2 linked regions of the Notamacropus eugenii genome follow. The protein of the gene in region 1 interacts with the protein of each later gene in a biochemical or structural test. Links are inferred from orthologs where the notes say so. Each region holds a gene or a part of one and is shown on either strand. Other genes may lie near its edges. The genes, in order: DDX39A and SARNP.

Region 1 (13,106 bases):
ATCCGTAGATCTAAAACAGCATTTCTTCCTTGCTCCTTTAATCTATTTATGCTGTGATTTTTAATACCTATGTCATGAACCCATTTGGAGCTTATATTGGTATATGATATGAGTGTTGATCTAAAGCTAATGTCTGCCAGATTGCTGTTCAATTTTCTCAGAATTTCTGGTCATATAGTAAGTTTTTTCCTTAGTATATAGAGTATTTGGGTTTGTCAAACACTGTACTGCTCTGTTTTTTTCCCTCTTTTTTTATGCTGCATACCTTATCTCTTTCACTGATAAATTCTCCACCCCTCCATCTTTTTTTAAATAAGTATGAGTGCTTAGCATAGTGTGTGATGTATACCATACATAGTATGTGCTTAATAAATGCTAATTGATTACAAAATTGTTTACATGATTACTGTTTTATAGTACACGTTGAGACCTGGTACTGATAGACCTCCTTCTTTCCTACTTTAAAAAAATTTTTACCCTTGAAATTTTTGACCTTTCGTCCCTTCATATAAATTTTGTTATTTTTTTCCAGCTTTGTACATATTCTTTTAAATTTTATTAGAATAGTATTGAATAAACAATTTAGAGAGTATTATCATTCTTATTATATTGACTTGATCTACTCTTGAGTAATTAATGTTTCTCCAATGATTTAGGTTTGTCTTTGTTTCTCTAAAGAACATTTTATAATTAGATTTATGTAGTCCTTGGATGAATCTTGGAATACACACTACCAAGTATTTTATAGCCTCTATAGGTGTTATGAATGGAATTTCTCTTTATACATTTTATTGTCCAATTTTGTTTGTAATGTGTAAGAATGCTGATGATTTGTGTGGATTTGTCTTATGTCCTGCAACTTTGCTGAAGTTATTATTTCAGTTAATTTTTAGCTAGCGTCTAAGTACATCATCCTATCATCTGCAAAAACTGATAATTTTATCTTCTCTTTGTTTCTCTTTCTTGTCTTAAATTTATAGCTAGCAGTATGCTAAATATTACTGATGATGATGCATATCTTTGCTTTACCCTTCATTTTATTAGAAAGTCCTCTAAATTTTCTCCAGTATATATAATGCTTGCTCTATCTCAGGGTATGAGCAGGCAGTATTCAAGGGAAGAAATCCAAGCCACCTATAGCCATATGAAAAAAAATGCTTGAAATCACTACTAATTAGAGAAATAAAAATTAAAACAATTCTGAGATCTCATCTCATACCCATTAGAGTGGCAAAAATGACAAAAAACAGAAATGATGAATGTTGGAGGGGCACATTGTAGGTAGAGTAGAAAATTGGTACAATCATTCTGGAAAGTAATTTAGAATCATACTGAAAAAATTACTAAATGGTACATGACTCAGCTGTACCATACCCAGACCAAATGAAATCAAAGAAAGAGGAAAAGGTCCCATGCATATGGAAATATTTATAGCAGCTCTTTTTGTGGTGGCAAAAAAGTGGGAAATTAAGGGGATACCTATCAATAGAGAAATAGTAAATAAGTTGTGATATCTGAATGTGGTGGAATATAATTATTCTATAAGGAATGAGGAAATAGAGGATTTAAAAAAAACATGGAAAGATGTACATGAACTGTTGCAGAGTGAGATAAGCAGAACCAAATGAACACTTAATATTATAATTAATATTATACAATATTATATAATTAATATTATTGAATATATTATTGAATATAATTAATATTATGAAAATGAACAATTGTAAAAACTTATAAACTGATGAAATGAGCAGAATGAGGACAATTTGAATAAGAACAATTTCTATAAAAACAAATCATTTTGTAAGTTATTAGAACTCTGATCAACACAATGACCATTCATAATTTCAGAGGATAATAGTGACACATGACATCCATGTCAGAAAGGTGATGTATTTAAGGTACAAAAAGACCATATACATTTGTTACAATGAATTTTTTTTTGCCAGTGCGATAGGAGGTGGGAGGGAAAGAAAACATATTTCTGTTGATTTTTAAAGACAGGGTGGGGGAATAATAGATATGTGGAATCTTGGGTGTACTTTCAGATGAGAACACTGTATTATTTGTTTTTCTTTGTAACAAGAGAGTTCTCATAGAGTAGGGAGTATTACTCTATAAAATGTTTGTAATGTAAAAAGAAAACAATAAAGCTTTTTAAAATACTATTTATTATATTACGGAAAGGTTCATTTATTCCTGTGATCTCTAGAGGTGTTTTTTTTACTGTTTAGGAACTCTCTCTAGAACTCTAGGAACTCTCTAGAGGGTTGCTGTAGCAGTTCTAGATATTTCTACTGTCCATAAATGTGTATGGGGAGAGCTCAGATGGATCCATCTGAGCTCTCAATCTGGTGAAAGTAGCAACAATTTCTGAGGAGTAGTGAAAAGTGTACAGGTTACATTATATCTCTTTTGTTGAGAAAGTCCCAGTGAGTCTAAATCCAAGGGTGGTAGCCAGAGGTAGGAAAAAAACTCTGGTGTGGGACGTGAGAGATCTGGGCTCTAGTTGGTCTGTCTGTTATTAACTAGTCACCAATTCCAGAGTCACACAGTACTACAGACTGAAGGTAACTTAGAGATCAGCCAGTCCAACTGCCTCATTTCTCAGATGAAGGACTAAGGAGGAAGAAAGAAGAAACTTACCCAAGGGTATACAAAACACAGAAATGGCAGATCTGGAATTTGAACCCAGATTTCCACAGTTACATTGTGGGAAGTGGGACTCAAACTGAAGTCTTCTCACTCCAAGTTCAGTTATTCTTCAACTAGATCATGTTTCTCTCTTTACTGGGCCTGTTTCCTTACCTATAAAATTATTTTAGGATAGGATAGGATTAGGATAGGATAGGATAGGGGAATTCCTTCTCTTCTTTCTTGGCCCAGTTCAAGTCCTTTCCACTTCCATGAAACTTTTCTGATTACTTTGACTGAAAGCAACTTCTCTATACTCACATTTTCCTCATGAATTTTGGATCATTCGAGCAGGCTGATTTCAGAAAAGCCTGGAAAGGCTTACACGAACTGAAATAAAATGAAGGGAGCAAAACCTGGAGAAAACTGTACACAGTAATAGCAACATTGCGTGATGACCAACTTTGATAGACTTAGCTCTCCTTAGCAATACAATTTCCAAGGGTTCATGATGGAAAATGCTATCTGCATCCAGAGAAAGAACTGATGGGAATCTGGGTGCAGATCAAAGCATATTATTTTTCATTTTTTTTGTTTTGTGTGTGTTTTTGTTCTTTTGGTTTGTTTCTTTCACAGCACGACTAATATGGAAATGTTTGATATGACTGCCCATATACAACCTATATCAAATTGCTTACCCTCTTAGGTGGGGGGGAGTAGGGAAGAAGGGAGGGAGAAAATTTGGAACTCAAAATTTTATTTAAAAAATGAATGTAATGATTATAGATATCTATGTATATGTATGTCTATATATGTTTGTATGTATATGTGTATATATGAATGTGTGTGTATCTTTGCTTAATTGTAACCTTCTTGGGAAGGAGGAAGGGGAAAAAAGAACAAAACAAAAAGTACATTGCAGAAAACAAAATAAAACTTGCAAGGAAGTAAAGATGGACAGCTCTAAACAAAATGTGTACTATTTATATTATATAGGTTTTATTGAAATGGAAATTAATTGCTTTATATTTTGAATCCTTTCATACATTCTGCTGTGCACGTCAATTTTTTTCTTATTTTGTATTTAAATTTGTTTCTTTTCTTATTTTGTACTTAAGTTTAAAATTGTAAAAATCACCAAAAATAATATTAAAAAATGCAAAAAAATTGTCTTTACATGTAATCGGGATAAAATATTTAACAAAATAAATCAAAAAAAATTTTTAAAAGAACTTTGAATTACTTCTTTGTCCCACACATGTTTAGATTTCCTGTTATACTAATTTGCTAATATACTGTAATCGTATTAGACTGGAATGACACCTAAGACCAAGAACATGCCTTTACTTAGTCTTTGCAGTCCTTATACTGATAACAGTGCCTTGTAGCATACAGAAGTGCTTTTCTGGACAGACCTGTGAGGTTTTCATTGATGTGACTACACCCGGTCTCAAAGGGGTGGGGAACCTGGAGCCTCAAGGCCATATGGGACCCTCTAGGTCCTTGAGTGCAGCCTTTTGACTGAATCCAAATTTCACAGAACAAATCCCCTTAATAAAAGAATTTGTTCTGTAAAACTTGGACTCAGTCAAAAGGTCACAACTCAAGGATCTAGAAGGCCACATGGGGTTTCAAGGTCAAAGGCTCTCTACCCCAGAAAGGAATACCTGGTCAATACAGATAAGCAACAATCTATAACTTACAATCTGAGAGAGCTGTCCAGGGCCCTATAAGTCAGACAACTAGTATGTGTAAGAGGCAGAATTCAAACCTAGCTCTTCTTTAAAGAACCGAACTGGGAGTTAGGAAGGTCTGAGTTCAAATCCTGCCCAAGACATTTACTAGATGGAAGACCTTGAGCAAGTCACTTAATATCTTCAGGCTCAAGTTTTCCTTATTTGTAAGATGAGGATAATGATAGTACTTACTTCATAGAGTCACCATGAAGATCAAATGAAATTTTTTATATTATATGTATACATGTACATACATACATACACGTACACACATACATACACACATATATATGTATATTAAGGGCTTTACAAGCCTTAAAGTGCTATATAAACACTAACTAACTATTCTTGACTCCAAGGCTGGTGGCTCTCCATCTACTGGACAAGGCTGGCTCTCTTAAAAAAAAAAACCCAACATAGGAATAAAGACTAGACCTGTGATTTCATTGGTTTAGGGAACTCCCAGGTAAGGAAACTCTTCCTAACCAATTTAGGTCAGTACCTTCTCTGAGACTTATCATCACAGAGAGTTACCTGGAGCCTTGACAAATTTAAAAGACTCACTCAAAGTCATTCAACCAGTTTAGGTCACAGCCAGGACTTTCTGATTTCAAGGTCAGCTCTCTATTACCACTATTACCACTACTACTACTACTACTACTACTATTATTACTACTAGCTAATACTTATATGGTGCTTACTATGTACCAAGCACTGTGTTAAGTACTTTATAATTATCATAATCACCTTGGGAGGTAAGGGCCATTATTATCCCCATTTTAAAGTTGTGTAAAACTGAAACAAATGGAAGTTAAGTGACTTGACCAGGGTCTAAGGTCAGATTTGAACTCAGATTTGAGCTGACTCTAAGCCCAGCACTCTTCCCACTATACCATGATGACTCTCTAATAAGTACAGGTAGTATTTAATCTTTGCTTTTTCAGTAGGATTGAGTTAAATGTCAATGTGACACAGCCTTAGCCAGATCTGAAGTCAGAGGAGCTCGGCTACCACATACCAGTTCTGTCACCATAGGTGACATTTTTCCAGTAAGACAAGTTCCCAAAGAGCAGTGATGCTTTTTCTCAAACACAGACCTTTCTTTGCCATAGCTGGTGTTCAGTAAACAACAGAGTATCAGAGTTGGAAAGGACCTTAGCAATCACCTAACCCAACCTATCTCTGAGCAAGAATCCTTTCATAATGTCCCTGAGGCATATAGGTGATGCAGTGGCTAGAGCATTAGGTCTGGCTGTGTGATCCTGGGAAAGTCACTTAACTTTTGTCTGCCTCAGTTTCTTCAAATAGTGATAATAACAGCACCTGACCAGCAGGGTTGTTGTAAGGATCAAATGATGTAATATTTTTAGCACAGTGTCTGGAAGGAACATAGTAGGTGCTATAGAAATGCTTATCCCCTTCCTCCTCTCATTTCTAGCAGGGACATAATTGTGATATAAATACAAAATATGCTAATCCTTCCACATTTTTCTTGATTTGCTGTAGCTGAAAGAATTCTTTTCCACTGGCAAACCTTTGGTTATAAGTGTGAATATACAGCAGGCATCTAATACATAATGTATTGAGTGAGTTCCTTTGAAGCGGGGACTGATGAAGGAGTGAATGGAGTCTTTTGGTTGATCATGTTATATCCCTCCCACCCCCATTAAACTCTAGTACCTACAGTGAATATAAATTCCTATATTTCACTTTTCAAGAGCCTCACACCTTGGCCTCTTTTTGCCTTTCCAGCCATTTTACACATTATTCCCTGCTATGCATTTTGCCATCTAGTTGACCTGACCTATTTGCTATTCCATAGATAGGATGATCCATCTCCTGGCTACCCCTTACACCTAGAATGAACCAGAGTAAGCTGCTTGCGGCATTGTCCTTAGACTCAGAAACTTAGGGAGAGCTCATTGTAATTGTCCCCCTTTTCCAGAGCTCCAAGTCAGTGTATAAGCATTTATTAAGTGTTTATGAAGCACAAGGCATACAAAGAAAGGTTAAAAACTCAATCCTTGCCCTCATGCAGTTCTTGTTCCAGTGGAGAAGACAACATACAAGTAATGATGTAAATACAAGATATCTGTTGTGCTGTTCAGTCACATCTGATTCTTTGTTACTCCATGGACCATAGCACCCCTGAAGTCTACCTCCTGAAGTCTGTCCAAACTCAAGTTCATTACCTCCATGACACCATCTATTGCATCCTCTGCCATCCCCCTTTTACCCAATGGGTCGATGTTTGATCTTTTCATGTTCTGTGTGACCACATCTGGCTTACTTTAGTTCATAGATCTTACATTCCAGGTTTCTATGTAATAATGATTTTTATAGCACTGGACTTCCCTCTCGTCATCAGACACATCTGCAACTGAGCTTCCTTTTGGCTTTGGCCCAATGGCTTCATTAGTTACTGCATCTACTTGTAGTTGTCCTGGGCTCTCTCAGTAACTGTTGGCTGCCCACCGGAAGGGCTCATCTTCCCGTGTGATATCCTTTATCCTTTTTAATATAGTCTATGGAGTTAATGGCGTGGCTTGCCATTTCCTTCTCCAGTGAGAATTGGAGAACTGAGCTTTGGTCAGAACTCTTCACTATGACCAGTCCGTCTTGGGTAACCCTGCATGGCATAGCTCAGTTTCCCTGACCTTCCAAAGTCACCTACCACAATACAGCAGTGATCTAGGAGAGGAATACCAGATATAGCCATAATAGATGACAGGGAATGAACTCAAAGGGAGGGGTGAAATACTGTGAAATATCCCTTGGATGTGGTGGGATTTCAGAAAGAAACCAGAGGGATTGCATTTCAGGTATAAGAGAAAGACAGTGAGAAGGCATGGATTTGGAAAAGGAACGGGGTAGCGAGAGAGCTTCATTTCAAGTGTTGTCGGATCGTAGAGCACCTGGACCAGGTAGAAAGAACCTGGCTTAGCGCCTAAATAGCAGGAATAATTAGGTAAAATAAGCTAACATCCTAGGGAGCTCTTCCTGGACTCCCTGGACACCCTCTCTGGCCTCGCCTGGCTTTTCCAGAATCTCTGACCCGTCTACAGAGTCTCTTAGGTCCTTCTCCCCGACCCCTCCTGCATTTTCCCCCGCCTTAGGTGCTGAGGACTCCTCTCCCCCACCTCAATAGCCGAATTTATTTTCAAAATTTGACCGGGGAGCACCTGGGCGTGTTTTGTGGGGCTTGACCTCGGTGCCAGAATTGTTAGTTACAATTGGTAGTTATGGATAGGCTGGGATTGGAACCTGGGGAGCCTGACTTCCCTATCACACCCTAAGAAGCACTGGAAGACAGTAGAGCTCCACAGGAGGGCGATCCACAGGAGTTCCGGCCTTTTACCCACAATGCACAACGCTCTAGGCTGGCTTCACTAGATGATCTTGCCATTAGTAAGTATGGTAGCACCTAGGTATTCGCCAGGCCTGGTCATATGGTCCCATCTCGAGACGGCCCCTTGGAATTAATTAAACCACTCAGAAGGACTTTCGCCGGGATCGACGCAGACTTTGCCCAATGAAACATTGGGACCGTCCCCTCTCCCTCTATAGGTTGCGCGGCCGAGACCAATCAACCAATCAGAGCTTGCTCCCTTCTGAGTGAAAGGCTGACAGCCCAGTGAACAAGGCAAGTTAGCCGGGAAGTTTGGAGGTGGTGCGCCAATTTTAGCAGGAAGAGAAGGAAGTAGGGGAGGCGGTTTCCACTCGAACGCGACACCTCTCCTGAGTTAACTCTTGGCTTTGGGAGCGCGTGTAGGCAGCCGGAGGCAAGCGCTCAGCTCAGAGGTAAGGGGCGGAGGAGGGGGCCGCAGGCCGCGAGGTCCTGGGCGCGCTGGAGATGACGGGCCGGGAAAGGCCTGCGGAGTTGACGCTGAAGCGGCAGGCACGCGGCGAGGCTGAGATGGCGCAGGCCCCGGGGAGGACAGGGAAGCTCATCGCGCGCTGCCGCGGGCCGGGCAAGGGCGGGGGCGGAGCCGCGGCCGGGGCAGGTGGCGCGCGCATGCCACCTCCGGGCCGCCCGACCGTTGGGGCGCCGGGCTGCGGAAGGCGCGCGGCCCGCGTGGGGCGGGAGGCCTGGGGAGCCCGGCGGCGGGGACGCCCTTCGCTCATGAAATACGTGGGAGACTGCCCCCGCAGCTGTGGTCTGCACCCCGAGATCCAAGCCGGGGGGCCCCAGAGCATTTGTCTGAGGGTCATCGGGAGCCCGCCGCCCACGCCTGTCCACGCAGGGGACACCCGTGTGCCCTGGAGGGAGTCTCCCGTATTTGTACTTTACGAGAATGTCCCCGAGAGGGAACCCCTCAAATTTGTGCTTTGGTGGGGATCCCCCTCCTGCACAAGCTTTGGCGGAGCCTCCCGGGACGTGTCTGTCCTCTGACTGCGCCCTCGCTCCCACGGTCCCCACTCCTCTCTCTCCCTAATTAGTTTAGGCATACAGGATTTCCTGAATGTGGGTGCCCTCACCACTGCCACAGGCACCCCACTTCTCACAGAAGGCGTAGTCAGTTCCGACTGAAAAAATCCGCCCCTCCAGGACCACCCTGGCCCATAAATCCGCTCTTTGGACTTAGGCGGTTGCCAGCGTCCGAGACTCTCCTAAGTATTTTCTCCATAACTTGTCAGATTTTTCGCCCCGCTGGCCTAGGTTTGGAGTCTTTTGCTTCCACGCTGCTACAGGAAATATTTTGGTGGGTGACAGTTTAAAGGAAATCTTTTCAAGGTAGTGACAAGTTCACTGAAAAGGATGGATTTTAACAGTCTTTTCTGGAGTAGACTCAGTCTAGTAAACTTGTACAGAGGCTTTTGTAAATGAACATGAAAAAATATTTTTTAGCGTATTCTTAGGAATTCAGAAGGGATGGAGAGAGGGAAAGAATGTGGAACTAGAAATTAAAAGTTAAGAAAAACTCGGTGTGTCCATGAATTCCATGGCCTTTATGGGACAGCTACACAGGTTAATACAGGTTGGAAAGAGAGTGGAAAGGCCTGTGTGCTTACTGACTTTTCTAAATTTTTCCTGTTTTTGTTTAAAGTTATAATTGCTAGCTTAAATTACATATTCATTAGGTGCTCATAAATTATTAATTCTTTACCTGAGCACCTGGTTCCAGGTGTGAGCTTCTTAAGGGTGAGAGCCAGCAATCTGTAGCTAGTATTCTGAGGCACACAAACTTTTAAATAACTTGAGACTGAATATCAGGAGAGAGAAGACGTGATATCATAAATGTTCTTGGTGACAGGAAGAACATTTTTAAGCTTTATTTTGGGGGTCCCAAAGATGGTTAACATGTAGATGGTTAACAGTAGATTTTTTTGGTATTGGATGGGAAAGCATTGCTAAAAGTTTTGTTGGATGTTTTAATCAAGCAAAAAGACGGTGTTTTGGAGTCCAAGGAAAGAAGGCACCTGATTCATCCTGTCTTTGTCTTCCTCTATGTTTGTGGATTTGAAGTTCCCAAGTTCTGTGGCAGAGAATATTTGGCTTAAATTTTCTTTTAACTACAAGGTTTTGTCATAAATACATTTTAACGCATGGATTAAAATAAGTACTGCCTTTTAATCGGATTCTTCTTTTCAGGCTATATTAACCTAATTAAGAAGCTTAGGTGATAGAAGTAGGTATTATGATCTGTATGCTGGTATAGATCTACATCTTGGCAGGAGGCTTTTTAATAAAAGCATTCTAACTAAGGGTGGTGTAGTATGAGCCCCAAATAGAGGGAGAAAGAGCAGTTTTAAGTTGGGGCTCTATAGCAGCAATCTGCCCATCCCTAGTAGTGAACTTTATTTTTTACCTTATGCCTCTAGAATGTGTGGTCTTGTCTTAACTGGCTTGTGAGTTTTCCACTGCTGAGTCTCCCTGGTACTTATTCCACTCCGTGCCTACTGCAGATGGGTATTGAACACAAGTATTCAAATATGTTGGTTGTCTGATAAGATAGTTTGCTAGGCAGAAATGGCCATGAGGAGGGCAAGATTCATGGTGCTTGCTGGCTTCCAGCTTTGATTTGAGGAGTTAGAATCTCTAGTACAGACAGTGCAAAAGGACTTTTGGACTCTTGATGTGTCCAGGGATTGAGGGGGATCTGTGTTTTTGTCTTTTTGTACTTAGCACTTGGTTGACCCCTGTCCTCTCTCTGTCAGTGGCCTGGAAAAGCAGGTACTGCCCTTCTTCCTGCCATCTGTGATGAACCAGCTACATCTTTCTTTTCTCCTCAGGGCAGAATGGCTGAACAAGATGTGGAGAATGAACTGCTTGATTATGAAGAGGATGAGGAGCCCCAGCCCATGACAGAGAGCACACCTACGCCTGCCAAGAAGGATGTGAAGGGCTCCTATGTCTCCATTCATAGCTCGGGCTTCAGGGATTTCCTTCTGAAGCCAGAGCTTCTGAGGGCTATTGTGGACTGTGGCTTTGAGCATCCATCTGAAGGTAGGCCTCTCCCCCTTCCATTTTCGCAGTTCCAGCTATTCACAGAAATAGGTAGTATTTCTGGTGAATAATAATGGCTAACATTTATATAGCACTATGAAGTTTGCAAAGTGCTTTACATGTAGTACCTGATTTGATCAGGTTTGCTCATCTAGAACAGCAGTTATTCAGTTTGCTCTCTAGGATGAAGACATCAAAAGCTATTAAATTAGAAATCACACACACACACACACACACACACACACACATACACATACACACATACACACACACTACATAACTGGTGATGACTGCTTAGGCATCTAATCAGATTTTCTGTGGTCTTCCTTTAGCCCTTCACTTGTCAGGGAGCTGAAGGGCTCTATTTAAGTCCTTTTTGATCAGATGCTTTCCTGATTTCTAAAGTCTTGTTTTCCTACTTCACAGTAATTACTTTTTTTCCACTTAACACTTTGCTTCCATTATCCCATTTGATTCTCACACTAAGCTGGTGAGGTAGGCAGGCTAGGCATGATATTTATACCTGTAAAGGGAAAATGTAGCCTAGATTGTTTAAATGATTTGCCTAAAGTGATACGGTGAGCCTGTTCCAGAGCTGGGATTCTAGAAGTCTGATCTCCTGATTCCAAGCCTGATAATCTTCACAGCATATTCCCCTACTTAGAAGAATACTGTTTCTTTCTCAGTCCAGCATGAATGTATTCCACAAGCCATCTTGGGAATGGATGTGCTATGCCAAGCCAAGTCTGGAATGGGCAAGACAGCGGTCTTTGTGTTGGCTACCCTGCAACAGATTGAGCCTGTGGATGGACAGGTACTGGGCTGGGGAGGGTCTTTCTGTCTGTCTTCTACAGTAAGTAAGAACCCTCTGAAGATATGAAGAGAACTTCTCTTTCACCTCCATGATCTTCCTTGGAGACAAGAAGTGGGTGAACCCTTTAAAGATGTACTTCCAAGTGCTTATGGAATTGGTTTTAATTCAGCAGATGTCTGTCGAGGCTTTGTTCTCAGTCTTGTTAGGCCCTGCTAAGGAGAGAGGGTAAGTTGTAGCCATTACTCTCAGGGACTTGGTCACAGTATTCCACTTTTTTATATACCCCTTATATACTTAGATGGATTGGTATAAATACATATTTCATCAGTGAAAATTGCAAACTTCTCTGTAATTCTTGATGTTGCAGTTTCACGTTGTGTTATGGCAGCACCATCTCAAAAAATTCAGGGTCAGACCACCTCTAATCCTGGAATAGGCATTTATTGAGATTGATACCTCTCATGAAGTGGGCTAAATTCCAAGAGGAACCAGCAACTTCAGAGAAAGCAAGATCGATTTTTATAGGGTAAAGATACAATTAAATAACAAAAATTATAGATATTAAAAAAGCAGGAGGGATTTGTTAAGGGATTAGGTAATAGGGAAGGGGTCCCAGCCATAATGGAACTGTGCATGTGATTACCCACAATGCATACAGAAAAAAGCCATTTGAGGGGGTATGTATGTATAATAATGATATTATCATGAGCCTCTCTATATCATAAGTTCACAGCTATTGCTATTATTGCGCAGGTCCCTGCTTAGGGAAAGTCCCTTCTGTTGTTTTGGAGTCCACATCCTGCTTGGGCATCCTGGTGGTGCTGCTTTCTGATTGACTGACTACTGTGGTCCTGTCTCAGACTAGATGGATGAGGTTGTGATTGAGCGCATAGACACACCTACTATTTCTGTGGGAAATATGAGTTCTTGGACATACCTTTTGTTCCAGTGAACAGTGAGGCATATATGAAGAAGTCAGGATATTGAGTGGTGGAGTGGCCAGGTAGGGGCAGTGGGCCTGCTGTTTAGTGGGCTCTATAAGGAAGTTAGAATATTGGGTCTGGGCAGCTTTATTAGGATTCCTTTACTGACAGTGTTTATCTATGAGCCATACTTCCGCAGAGGGCCCTGCCAGTGTGCTGGAGATGCTCCTCTACTTTTTAAATTTTGTTAGTCCCAGGGTAGCACTTGGACTGTCTGCCATGGGACAGGCACATCTCCTTTTCTGCTTGTAAACTTCTTTAATGATCTCTTTTGTGCCACATTTTGGGAATGGGCAGCCTTCTTGTGCTCATGGCACCACTGACTTTTGGGTCATCTGCAACTCTGAGCTGGTTAGGTGTGAAATAGGAAGCTGTTGGGGTCCATCTCATAAGAGGTCTTCATCCAAAAGATTGGATGATCACTTGCTGTGTGTGCTGTAAAGGTGGTTCCTGTTCAGTGGCCTCAGCTGTCCTGCATGTCCACAATTGTT
Region 2 (12,207 bases), on another chromosome or scaffold:
CATTTCTCTTTTACCCACAGGAAACGGATGGCAGAGAGTGAGTTGAGCAGGTCAGTGAATGAATTTCTGTCCAAGCTGCAGGATGAACTCAAGGAGGCCATGAATACTATGATGTGTAGCCGGTGTCAAGGGAAGCACAGGTGAAAAACATGGGGCGTGGCGGAGGATAGACGTCAGAGATGGATGGGTATTATAGCTCAGAGATAGGACAATTGAAGTGTCTTTTCATTTCCCTTCAAAGCTTTTTATGGGTTTTTATAAGGATTTGGAATTGGTGGTTGTGAACCAGAGAATAAAAAAGCCTTGGGACTGGGGATGTGGTTCAGCATATAGTTGAGCAAAGGGAGAATAATAATTTAATTATTAGGTAGAAAGGACACGGTCCTTCTGGACATGTCTAATAAGTGGTGCTGTCAGCACAAATCGTTTGTTAAAGTCAAGATAATGACTTGGCCATACTTAGGACTAACGTGAGGTTTTTGTGTTCGGGGACAGGAGATTTGAAATGGATCGAGAGTCTCAGTATGCTCGATACTGTGCTGAGTGCAACAAGATGCATCCTGCTGAGGAAGGTGACTTCTGGGCAGAGTCAAGCATGTTGGGCCTCAAGATCACTTATTTTGCCATGATGGATGGAAAAGTATATGACATCACAGGTATACTCCAACCCTGCCTCAGGATAGGTTAGAATGTCGGTAACAGACACCATACACAAGAATAAAGTCTAAATGCATACATGATCTAGGTATAAAGATTGATACTATAAACAAATTAGGGGAGGAAGGAATAGTATATTTGTCAGATTTGTGGAGAATGGAGAAATTTATGATCAAACAAGAGATAGAGAACATTATGAAGTGCAAAATGGGTAATTTTTATTACATTAAATTGGAAAGTTTTGCACAAACAAACCCAATGCAACCAAGATTAGGAGGGAAGCAGAAAACTGGGAAAGAATTTTTGCAACTAGTGTCTGTGATAAATGCCTCATTTGTAAAATACAGAGAACTGAATCAAATGCACTATACAAGTCATTCCCCAGTTGATAAATGGTCAAAGGATATGAACAGGCAGTTTTCAGAGGAAGAAATTGAAGCTATCTATAGTTATATGAAAAAACGCTCTAAATCACTATTGATTAGAGAGATATAAATCAAAACAATTCTGAGGTACCACATCACACCTGTCAGATTGGCTAACATGACAAAACAGGAAGATGATAAATGTTGGAGAAGATGTGGGAGAGTTGAAATACTAATTCATTGTTGGTGGGGCTGTGAGCTGATCCACCCAACCTGGAGAGCAGTTTGGAACTATGCCCAAAGGGCCACAAAAATCTGCATACCCTTTGATCCAGCAATATCACTTTTAGGACTGTATCCCCAAGAGATCATAGAAATGGGAAAGGGTCCTACATGTACAAAAATATTTATAGCAACTCTCCGTGTAGTGGCCAAAAACTGAAAATCAAGGGGATGCCCATCAATTGGGGAATGGCTGAACAAGTTGTGGTACATGAATGTAATGGAATACTATTACTATAAGAAATAATGAACAGGACTTCAGAGAGGCCTGGAAGGACTTATATGAACTGATGCTGAATGAAAGGAGCAGAACCAGGAGAACTTTGTACACAGTAACAACCACAGTGTGTAAGGAATTTTTCTGGTAGACTTAGCCCTTTACAGCAATGCAAGGACCTAAAATATTCCGAATGGACTCTTGAGGCAAAACGCTTTCCACATCCAGAGAAAGAACTGTGGAATTGGATTGCAGAATGAAGCAGAATATTTTCTCTTGTGTTATGTTTTGTTTTTTTCTCATGGTTTCTCCCATTCATTTTAATTTTTCTCTGCAACATGACTAAGGTGAGAATGTGTTTAATAAGAATGTATGTGTAGAACCCATATAAGATTGCATGCCATCTTAGGGAGGAATGGGGAAGGGAGAGTGAGAAAATCTAAGACTTATGGAAGTGATTGTAGAAAACTGAAAACAAATTAATAAATAGAAAAAAAGAATGGGTAACAGAAGGGCCAGAATGTTTAGTTGTCTGTGATGCTGGATAATGTGGAAGCTATATAGTCTTAGGAGGGCCACTAGGGGGTGCAGTGGATTGAGTGTCAGGCCTGGATTTAGGAAGACTCATCTTTGTGAGTTCAAATCTAGCCTCAGACACTAGCTGTGTGACTCTGCTCAAGTCACTTAACCCTGTTTGCCTATTTTTTCATCTGGAAAATGAGCTGGAAAAGGAAATGGCAAACCACTCCAGTATTTCTGTCAAGAAAACTCCAAATGGGGTCAAGAAGAGTCAGACACACCTGAAACAACTGAACAAGTCTTAGGAAGGGCCTGGACATATAGTTACATAGAATGGAGTTTGGATATTCACTTGGGTTGAGTTGTACTGTTTTATCTGCCTCCCTCTTGTTTGCAGAATGGGCTGGGTGCCAGCGTGTGGGGATTTCCCCTGATACCCACAGAGTCCCCTATCACATCTCATTTGGGTCCCGGTTTCCTGGTCCTGGTGGGCGGCAGAGGTAGGTAGTGTTTTTTTCCCTGCCTGTTGTTTCAGAGAACTGGTTATACAGAACAGTTTAGTATCCCAGTGTATCCTGGCCAATGACTTGGTACTTTTACTTAATAAGTAAAACATCTGTGTATCTTTAGGAATGTTCATCTCCTCATCACAATATTTGTTTTACTGCAGAGTCACTCCAGATGCCCCCCCAGCTTCAGTTGCTGACCTTCAGGATTTCTTCAGCCGGATCTTTCAGGTTCCCCCAGGCCAGATGCCCAATGGAAATTTCTTTGCAGCTTCTCAGCCTGGCCCTGGGGCCACCCCACCCTCCAGGCCAGACAGTTCCACCACATCCAAAGGTTCAGAAGCCAAACCGAAGCGGCGGAAAAAAGTGAGGAGGCCCTTCCAGCGCTGATGCCCTGTCTCTTCCTCTTCTCTACCCTCCTCAGCTCAGTGTCAGGGAATCATAAGGGCTGTGTACAGCATAGGATGGAACTTGTTTTGTTTTTTAAAAAATTTTCAATATTCAAAAAGTTTCAAGCATTACCTGTTCACTCAGTGACTTGTGGGAAGCCACTGAATCCCCACTCTGGGAACTAAGAACTGAATCTTGTTTGATGACAATACCAAAGAAATAGTGGGGTGGTTGGCAGGAAGGGCCCTGTGCCTAGACCATGGCTAGGATTGGGACTGATGAGTATTTTGTGTGGGACAGAGCTCTCTAGGGTTTGGGGGGGGGCTCTTATATTGTCCCTCCTTCCGAAGGCCAGGGTGGTACTCATTCTGTTGTTAACTTGGACCTTTGTTTCTGGGCCTTCTCCTCTATCATCCATGTGAGGAGGCAAGTGGCCCTTATATTCAGGGGTGGGTAAAAGCCCAGGACCATTCAGGGAATGGAAATGCTGCCTCTTTCTGTTCTATGGTTCCTACCTAACCTCAGGGTTGTTTCTGCAAGGATGGCTGATTTGACAATTTTTTTTTAAAGCAGACTCAAGTCCCCACGCCCTTGGTGGGTAGGAGGCAAAAAAGCAAGTTTGGTGATGGTGGTGGTGGGGTTGTCCCCAGCTATCCCTATGTAATCAAAAGGTTTTTTTTTAAGTTTGTTCATATTTGTATGTACATATCTATTTAAAGCCAGGGGATTTACCTTTCTATAAATATAACTGGCAAGCTATGCCTACCTCTTTTGTGTGCCCACTTGCCCTGACCCTATTTTCTACATGATAAGAGTTACTAATCTCTGATGATTGCTCTTGGTTGAGTGGGGACAAGAAACAGTTTCAGGGAGGCATGGGATATGATAATAATCAGAAAGAGGTTTATTTTCAATTTAAGATTGGGAAGAATGTAGTCTTTTCGCCCTCCTTCACCTCCCACAAAGTTCTGCTGACTACCCTAGATTTACATCTGAAAAATAGCTTTTATTATATAGCAGTGATGTAGATAGTTGGAAAAGATAAACTATAGCACCAGCCAGGAGAGTGGGCCCAGCCCTTACCCATATTTCTTGATTCTAAGGAACCTGCCCTTACTTGTACAGGGGAGTCATCCTACCCCCAAATTCATCTCCCTGGAGTTGGCAAAAAAAGATCAGTTGATCCTCAGGTCTTCAGCTGCTAAAGGGAAGGAGGATAGAGCAGCTCTTTGTTCCTTGTCCTTCCCTAGCCTGTACCTAAGTGATCATTGCCAGGTGTTAGTACTTATTGATGCCAAAGAGACGGACACCATGGAACTGGGGTAACTTAGGCAGTAGTACACTGAGCAGTGAAGCTGTATTGATGACAAAGTGAGCAGCATCATATTTGGTGTAGAAGCTGGCCAGGAGGTAGCTGGGGAGAGAAAGAAGAACATGATGAAAAAGAGGGACCTTTCCCTGACCTCTTTTTGTTCTTTCTACCATCTTCCCCTAAGTCAGTTTTGTTATTTCCTTAAATGACAGCTCTATCTCACTATTGCCACATGAACAGCATTTCTCTTGAATGGGAAGTAGTTTATAGATTCTATAGATTTATAGACAGTTTATAGCAAAATGTGTTGATCAATGGAAAATGAAAGAAGGGTCAAGCTACAGTACTGCAAATGTCCCCTTGTCTCTGACATTACCCTCTTCCTTTTAAATCAATTATACTTTCATTTGTTGTACACTTGAACAAAGTCTTGCACCACAGAATCTAGGTGAGGATTTCTTTGAAGTTTTCCCAGATGCTCCTATCCCCATTACCACCACAGGGAGGCAGCAAGCCTATTCGTGGCTTTCATACTTTGGATTTCATAATTGGTGAACTGAACACCCTCTATCCTCCTAGCATGGTTAGATCATAGTTTTTCAGTGAGTTTACAGAGATTCTACCCCTTGTGGTGGTACCTTCCACTTAACTGATGTCCCCTTGGGGGGCCTTTGCAACACCTACTCTACCTAGCTTCTCCCTCACCCTCCTGGAACTCACAGCACAATGGGAAAAATACTGAGGAACTTTCTGGAGGAGGTGAACTGGAGCCCATAGTCCATCTGCTCCCAGTGTGTAAGGAGCCGGGCCTTGCCTTGGTCGGGGGTCTCAAAGGGTGTCCCCTTCACAGTGTGCAGAAAGACGTACATGGCCTGGGAGGGGGTGAGAAGGTAGAAGAAATCCTTTTCAGCTATGGATTTGAGGCAGGTGGGCAAATCCCCAAAGAATTCAAGTCTGGATAAGAGAAAATGAATTTAGGCTGGAGGCTCACCAGGTTATGGATGACGTTGGTCAAGGTCCAGACCACTGGGATGCTGAAGAAGGGGATGCTGAGTAGAACCACATGTAGAAGCCCTACTAGGATGATGTAGGCTAGCCAGATGCCTCGGCTGTTCATCACCCTTGTGTTGGGGTTCACCTCGCTGTGGGCCACCCCCACGTTCATCCTGCCACAATAGTGAGTCAGGAGCTGGACTCACCGGGGTTCTCTTTCCTTTGGTCTGCCTCCCTCGGTTACCGGTTTGGTGACTGCAATGAACCTTGAACTTGGGGGGAGGAGGAGGGGAAGGCGCTCCTCTGGTATACTGAGGCCTGAGAGATAAAAAGCTTTCTGGGATGAGGGGAATCTAACTTTAGCCTGAAGGGAACAGCGGGGGAAGGGGCCGTAGTTGGAGGCGAAAAGGGGGCATGGAGCACTTCCTTTCTATAGAGGGGAATTTGGGGCAGTCCTCTCGTCTTCCGGGGGTGGGCAGGAGAATCAGATCAGGTGAGTCCAAGGGGAGGTGCTCAGGAGGTAGACGTGCTCGGGAACGATACCTCTCCCCTCCCATTCTCTGTCCGGGGCTGCCATGGACGACAACCTCGGCGGGGGGAGCTGCCATTGGCCTTTCTGGAAAATGTAGGAAGCTGCGGGAGCACGTTGTGGGCCTTCCGCCGCCCGGGGTGGGGGCAGGCAGAGCAGGCGCTCCGGGAACCGCCCCCCGCCCCCCCCCCGAGGCGCACTACGAAGGGGCGTTCAAATCTCCTTCCTCCAGACGAGCCGGCAGCCCACGGCCGAACCCAGCCGATCCCCGAGTCCCAGTGACCCTTGGGCTGTAGCCCGGGGCCCCATCCCTGCCCCTCAAAGCTCGCCGTCACGGCCTGTCTCCGCTCCTCTCGGAGTCATCCCCTCACTCCCAAATCCCCTCACCTGGAGGCTCCAAGGGCCACTCCGCCAGACGCAAGTTCGGCTACTTTACCTAGTCCACCTGTTGTGTCCTGGAAGCGGCCGTGCCCTCGAACTGTCCCCATTGGCCCTCCACGCCCGGCGCTGCCGTGGCTCATTGGCCACCCGTTTCGATGTTCTGTGTTTCGTTAGTCAGCGGGCCTGTCACTCTGGTGGGAGGGAACCAACCCTTCTCCAATCCCCTTCTCCGGCAGACCGTCGCGTGGGGGAGGACCCATGCTGGCGGCCGACGAATGAAAAAAGCTGATGGTAAAGAGTGGGAGTATAAACAACGGCTATTGGGTGGTGGTGATCCTCGGAGTCTCGGCGGGAGCTCCAGAAGGCGGAGGCAGGAGAGGGGGGCAAACTGGGGGAGGAGGGGGTGACAAGATGGCGGCGGAGACGGTGGAGCTCCACAAGCTGAAGGTACCGTGAGGGGCAGAGGCCCGGGCATGGCTGGGGGCCGAGCTCTACGAGGTGACCGGCGCCTCCCTCCCCTCATTTCTCCCTCCGGGGCTCCCCTCACTGTCGTCCCGGTCCTCTCCCTGTTAGGCTGGTCTCTGGGGCCTTCTTCCTCTCCTCTCGTGCTGCCCCCCCCTCTCGTTCCTTCCCCCTGCCATCTTTTCTCTCCGTTCGGGGTGCCCCTCTCCTTACCGCTTCTCCCTCCCCCCTTTCTGCCGAGAATGTGTGTTTGCCTCTCCCCTTGCGAGGAGGCAGGAGAGGTAGCAGCACGTCATACCCCCCTCGCCTCTGTCCCCTTCCTCTCTGCCCCCGACCCCCTTTCCTTCCCCAGGTCTCCTCTCCATTCCGAGTCTAGGAGTCCCCAGCAAGCTGGGGTAGCGGCACCCACGTGCGTTTGTGTGTCTGTCCAGCTCGCCCGGACGACTCAGGGACGCCCCAGTTCCTTCCTCAGAGGTGTTATGGTACCTGAGTCCAGCCTAGAAGCCTGGGAGAGCCCGGGAATGGGGACCACCGGCATCCCCTCCCCGCACCTCAGGCACTCGATGGCACTGGGGTCACCTCAGAAGAAGAGGGAGGTTTTTTTTTTCTTTTGCAAGATAAGGAAGGGAGCTGGGGAAGCTTTTTGAAAAACAAACTCAGTTTTCCCTATTATCCTCCACCTCCTTTTGTGTCATCCTCTGGGAAATATAGGATGGTTGACAAAGATTTTAGTATTATTTACTTGGGGAGAAGAATTAACCTCCTATAGGTAAAAGAGATATATTGGTTGATTTTAGGTGTTCGTTCAGAATTTGGCAAACAGTCCCCCTGTCAGGTAGTGATTATTCACTTCCTTTTGGGAAACAAGCTAAAAACCGATTTCCTTTATTATATAATACATTAAGTGCTCTATAAGATTTGCAACCTGGCTTGTTGATGCTGACAATCTAAAGCATATCTAATAGGAAAAAATAGTTTATGATTTCTTGGATATACTCTTGAGATAGGCACTACTAAAACATGCTTAGCCCTAGCAGCATGGACTTTTATTTTCTTGGATTCTGCTTGGCTTAACCGATTTTATTCTTATGGTATCATTTGTTGAGAGTGTAAGGTTGAATTATAAGCTTTCCATTTCCATGGCATGTCAGTTTTGCTTTTTTCTTTTCCTGGACTGATGCCGGCCATCAGAGTCTACTGTAAAAGAACATAGAGAAGGAGTAGGAGAGGAGCCTGTCCATATGCCACAGAAATTCTTAACTTTTTTAGTGTCATTGACACCATTAGCAGTCTGGTGAAGCCTGTAATCCTGTTCTTAGAATAATGTATTTAAATGCATAAAATAAAATGCATAAGATGTAACCAATTATTTTGAAGTTCAGTTATTTAAATATTTTTAGAAGTAAGTTCACAGACCCCAGGTTAAGAACCCCTGCTCTAGAAACAACTGAGTCTTCTTTTCCCTCATGAAATGCTATTTCTCACCTCTCACAGCATCTAAAGGAGTTTGGCGTAGTTGTTACTTATATTGAAAGAATCTTCCCTTGTTATTTGCTGTATGGGAGGGCTTCTTAATCATGGGGGATGTTGGCAGATTTCAGAGGGTCCATGAACTTGGATGGGGAAAAATGTTGTTTCACTGAACTTTCACTGGAATTTAGCATTTCCTTCAATTATATAAAAACACTGTGAGGAGTCTATAAGCTTCACCAGACTGCCAGAGGTATCAGTGACAGAAAATAAGGTTAAGAACTCCTGCTTTGGAGCTTAACATTTTAATTTTTCTAGCTTACATGTGAATGTAAAATTTTCTTGAGAAATAAGATGTTTAGTTTGGGTGACATTAGCTTACTTTAATTGAGCTTTTAGAGATAATTAGAAAAGAATGCTCAGAAGTCCACCTTTTACTTAATTTTAATGAAAAAGACAAGGTATGGACTGAAATAACCACACTGGTTAAAAGGATATGCAGATTTGTCATATTTGCTTTCAAATTTTCTTTTTTGTCTGTGAACAGAAGTCCTTAAATAAAGACCTTTGAGGACTGGAGGCCTTCTGTTTCAGTAAAGTGTGCACTAATGAGATTTCCTAGCCCTGGGATCAATTCCTGCCACTGACACCTACTAGCTATGTGACCTTGGCCAAGTCACGTATCCTCCCTGGGCTTCAGTTTTCTTTTCTGTAAAATGAGGGGGCTAGAATACATGCCTTCTCAGGTCCCTTCCAGTTCTAGCACTATAATCTCTTGATTTCTATTCTCTTGAAATGATTATTCATTTTTGACCCTATCTATACTATTGACTTTAAATTTGTGAAAAATGTAAAGAAATGCAACCACCACAAAATACAAACTGGCCAGGGAGAAAGCTAAATGGTAGAGAACAATGTTTGTTAAAATACAGGGATGGGGACTGGATCTGTGATTTCATTGTTATATTGGTTTTCCATTAATTCTAGCAGCTTCTTGGCTTGTCTTTCATAATGTCTTGACTACAGTCACAACTCCTGGATGAGGAAACTCCCTCTACTAATGCAGGTTGGCATCTTCTCTGAAACTTGTAGTCTTAGAGAGTTGCTTAGGGAAGTGAAGTGACTTGCCCAGGATCACACAGCCAGTATGTTTCAGAGGCAGGACTTGACCTCAGGTTTTCCTGGGATAAGCTTGTGTGTCAAGTGCCACACAGACCACTATAGGAATAGTGGTAAAGCCAAACTATATCGTGGGAATTCATTTAAGTAGTGAATACATTGACTGTCCTTTTGCGGATAGTGTGGTATTGTGGCACAGTGGAAAGAGCATTGATTCTAGAGTCAGACTTGGGTTCATATCCTACCTTTGATGCTTCCCACCTGTGTCACTTTAGGCATGAATTATTTAATCTCCTTGGGCTTCAGTTTCCTCCTCTGTAAAATGAGGGTGTTGAACTTAGATGGCTCTGGGGTCCCTTCCAGCTCTGTATCTATGACTTTTAAGTTCTTTATTTGCTCTCTGCCCTTTTTCATAGATCTATATTTTAAGAGCTACTTTTGACAGTCACTTGAGCAACTATGGATTGCTTGTTATGTAGTAACACTATAAATGTTATGGAAGAAAACAAAATTATAAGTCAAGGTAAGGTACCTGTCTTTGAAATATAATATAGTTGATAGAGATAAATATACACATATGAAATTACTTAAACAGAATTTTCATTTTAGGCTGCTATATTTTAAAGAGACATGGACAATAATATTAGCTTATGTGTCTATATAGTACTTCATGGCTTATATCCTCAACAATGTTGTGAGATAGGTAGTGTTAAGTGTTATTATTTCCATTTTATAGATGAAGAAACTGAAGTGCATGTTAATGGACTTGCCTGTGGTTGTACAACTAGTTAATGTCAGATCCAGGATATGAATTCTGTTCCGACTTCAAGTCAAGTGTTCTTTTTCCTTACTCCACACCATCTCTCAAATTAGAGCATGTCTATAGTTAGATTGTCTGGAATGGTGAAAGGTCTGGAATCCGTGTCATGTAAGGATTGCTTAAAGGAACTAAGTATGTTTAATTCAGGGAAGGGAAGACTTGGGTATGTGATAGGTGTTGTCAGTTTTTTTTAATTTTTAAAAGTTTTGTTTCTGTTTTTCTCTATTGTGTTCATACCACAATTTTTTCCTCTTAAGTTCCTCTACCCGCTCCCCCCCCATTGATTTCCTATAACAAAAAAACAAAAACAAGTAAGTACAGCTGTGGTATGTATCGCATTCCACATCAATAGTCTCCATCTTAATATTGAGGGGAGGAAGGTATGTTTCTATATTAGTTCTTTGAGTGAGAGATTGTTCATTACAGTTCATAGTTCAACTACTTTTTACTATTATTTTCCTTTACGTTAATACTCATTGTGCATATGATTTATGTAGTTATGTTTTCTTCACTCTGAATCAGGTCATACAAGTTCTCTTGATTTCTTGATATTTTCATTTCTGTCATTTCTTTCTGCACAATTTTTCATTATGACAATTTTTCATTATGTTCACATATTACCATGTGTCCAGCCATTCCTCAGTCAAGGGAAGCCCTTTTTGTTTGCATTTTATTGCTAATAATAGCTAGCATTTTATTAATGCTTTAAGGTTTGCCAAGTACTTTATCTATTTGATATCTTATTTAAGCCTCACTATGGCCCTGTAGGGTAGGTGCTATTATTATCCCCATTTTACGGATGAGGAAACTGGCTGAGGGAGGCTAAGTCGATTGCCCAGGGTTATACAGCCAGTAAATGCCTGAGGCAGTATTCCAGCTACTAAGTCTGTCTGCTCTACCACCTAGCAGCTTCCCAAAGAGACGCTACAAAGAATGCTGCCATGTTTGTTACATGGAGGTCCTTTGGTCACTGATTGCCTTGGTGGTATTTGTCCAGTAATAATGTAGTATATGAACACTTCGTGTTGATATTTAGGATGGTTAGACTAGTTCACAGTACCACCAACAGTGCACCAGTGTTCTCTGTCTTACCAAAGCTCTTCCATCATTTACTCTTTTTGTAGGTGTGAGGTGAAACCTTTGGAGTTTTAATTTGTATTTTTCTTACTTATTAATTGATTTAGAGCAGTTTTTCATCTGGTGCTTGATAGTTTGCTTTTCCTCTCAATCTTGTTTTTCCACACCCTTTGTTGTGGGTATGTTCATAGCCATTTATCTTTTGAGGAATGGCTCTTCAAATATTAAGTGGGTTGCTATTTTTTTTTGTCACCCTATGCAAGTTTTTTAAACTTTCTGTGTCATTATTTTTGATAATCTGGTGAAATCTGTGGACTCCTCAGACTAATAATTTTTATATGCATAAATTAAAATATGTAGGATTATAAAGGAAAACCAATTAACCAAAATTCACAGACTGGTTCCTCCCTACTTTTACCCTCTTTAGAACCCTTGCTTTGGTTGCCAGATCTAGAACCAGTGAGAAGCTTCATGGAAGCAGGTGTCTGTTCAACATAAGGAAAAATTTCTCAACAATTAAAGCCATTCAGAAATATTTTGTGACTTACCAAGCTCTTTGTCAGTTGAAGTATTTGAGCAGAGAAAGTCTAGATCATCATCTGTCAGACATGTTGTATAGGACATTCCTATCTTGGGGGTAAGGTTGAACTAGTTGACCTCTAAGATTTATCTCAACTCTGAACTAATAATTTTATTAATTCTGAGTACAAACTAAATGTTAACAAGTGCAAGATTATACTATAAATTAGCATACCCAACCATAATGTTGGTAAATATTTTTGAATATATACTACAGTGTAGCATGTAGAAATGCATAGTGTAAAATGCTCCTTTTTCTCAAGGGACCTATAATCTAGTTGGGGAGAGAAGAATTAAAACACATGAAAAGCTTAATAATAAGCAATTTGCTATTATAATAGGATACCACTGATTAATACATCCTTTCCTGTAGATGTGCAGATAATTGCTAAAAGAGGCCAGATAAGGGAGACATCACTTAAGGTTGAGGGAGGGAGTGAGGATTTGTACTTGATCTAGACCAAGGCTTCTTAAACTTTTTCTACTCAGGATCCCTTTAGCACTTCTTAAACCCCACAAAGGGTCAAGA

Evidence for each region.
Region 2: the proteins of DDX39A (region 1) and SARNP form a complex in vitro, tested with the Homo sapiens proteins (2 studies listed by BioGRID). The link is inferred for Notamacropus eugenii from reciprocal best matches to the Homo sapiens genes DDX39A and SARNP.

What each region holds. Positions count from the first base shown.
Region 1 is NC_092875.1:76,519,361-76,532,466, forward strand, and holds the start of DDX39A (ATP-dependent RNA helicase DDX39A), read left to right. Parts: upstream 1-7,983; 5' UTR 7,984-8,171; intron 8,172-9,013; exon of another isoform or gene 9,014-9,105; intron 9,106-10,604; 5' UTR 10,605-10,610; coding exon 10,611-10,818; intron 10,819-11,504; coding exon 11,505-11,632; intron 11,633-13,106. UniProt on the Homo sapiens protein: Helicase that plays an essential role in mRNA export and is involved in multiple steps in RNA metabolism including alternative splicing. Regulates nuclear mRNA export to the cytoplasm through association with ECD.
Region 2 is NC_092874.1:231,063,547-231,075,753, reverse strand, and holds the start of SARNP (SAP domain-containing ribonucleoprotein), read left to right. Parts: upstream 1-6,430; 5' UTR 6,431-6,439; coding exon 6,440-6,598; intron 6,599-9,075; exon of another isoform or gene 9,076-9,122; coding exon of another isoform or gene 9,123-9,149; intron 9,150-12,207. Other genes in the region: ORMDL2 (ORM1-like protein 2), read right to left, coding at 4,215-4,350, 4,969-5,120, 5,240-5,414, 6,158-6,291. UniProt on the Homo sapiens protein: Binds both single-stranded and double-stranded DNA with higher affinity for the single-stranded form. Specifically binds to scaffold/matrix attachment region DNA. Also binds single-stranded RNA. Enhances RNA unwinding activity of DDX39A.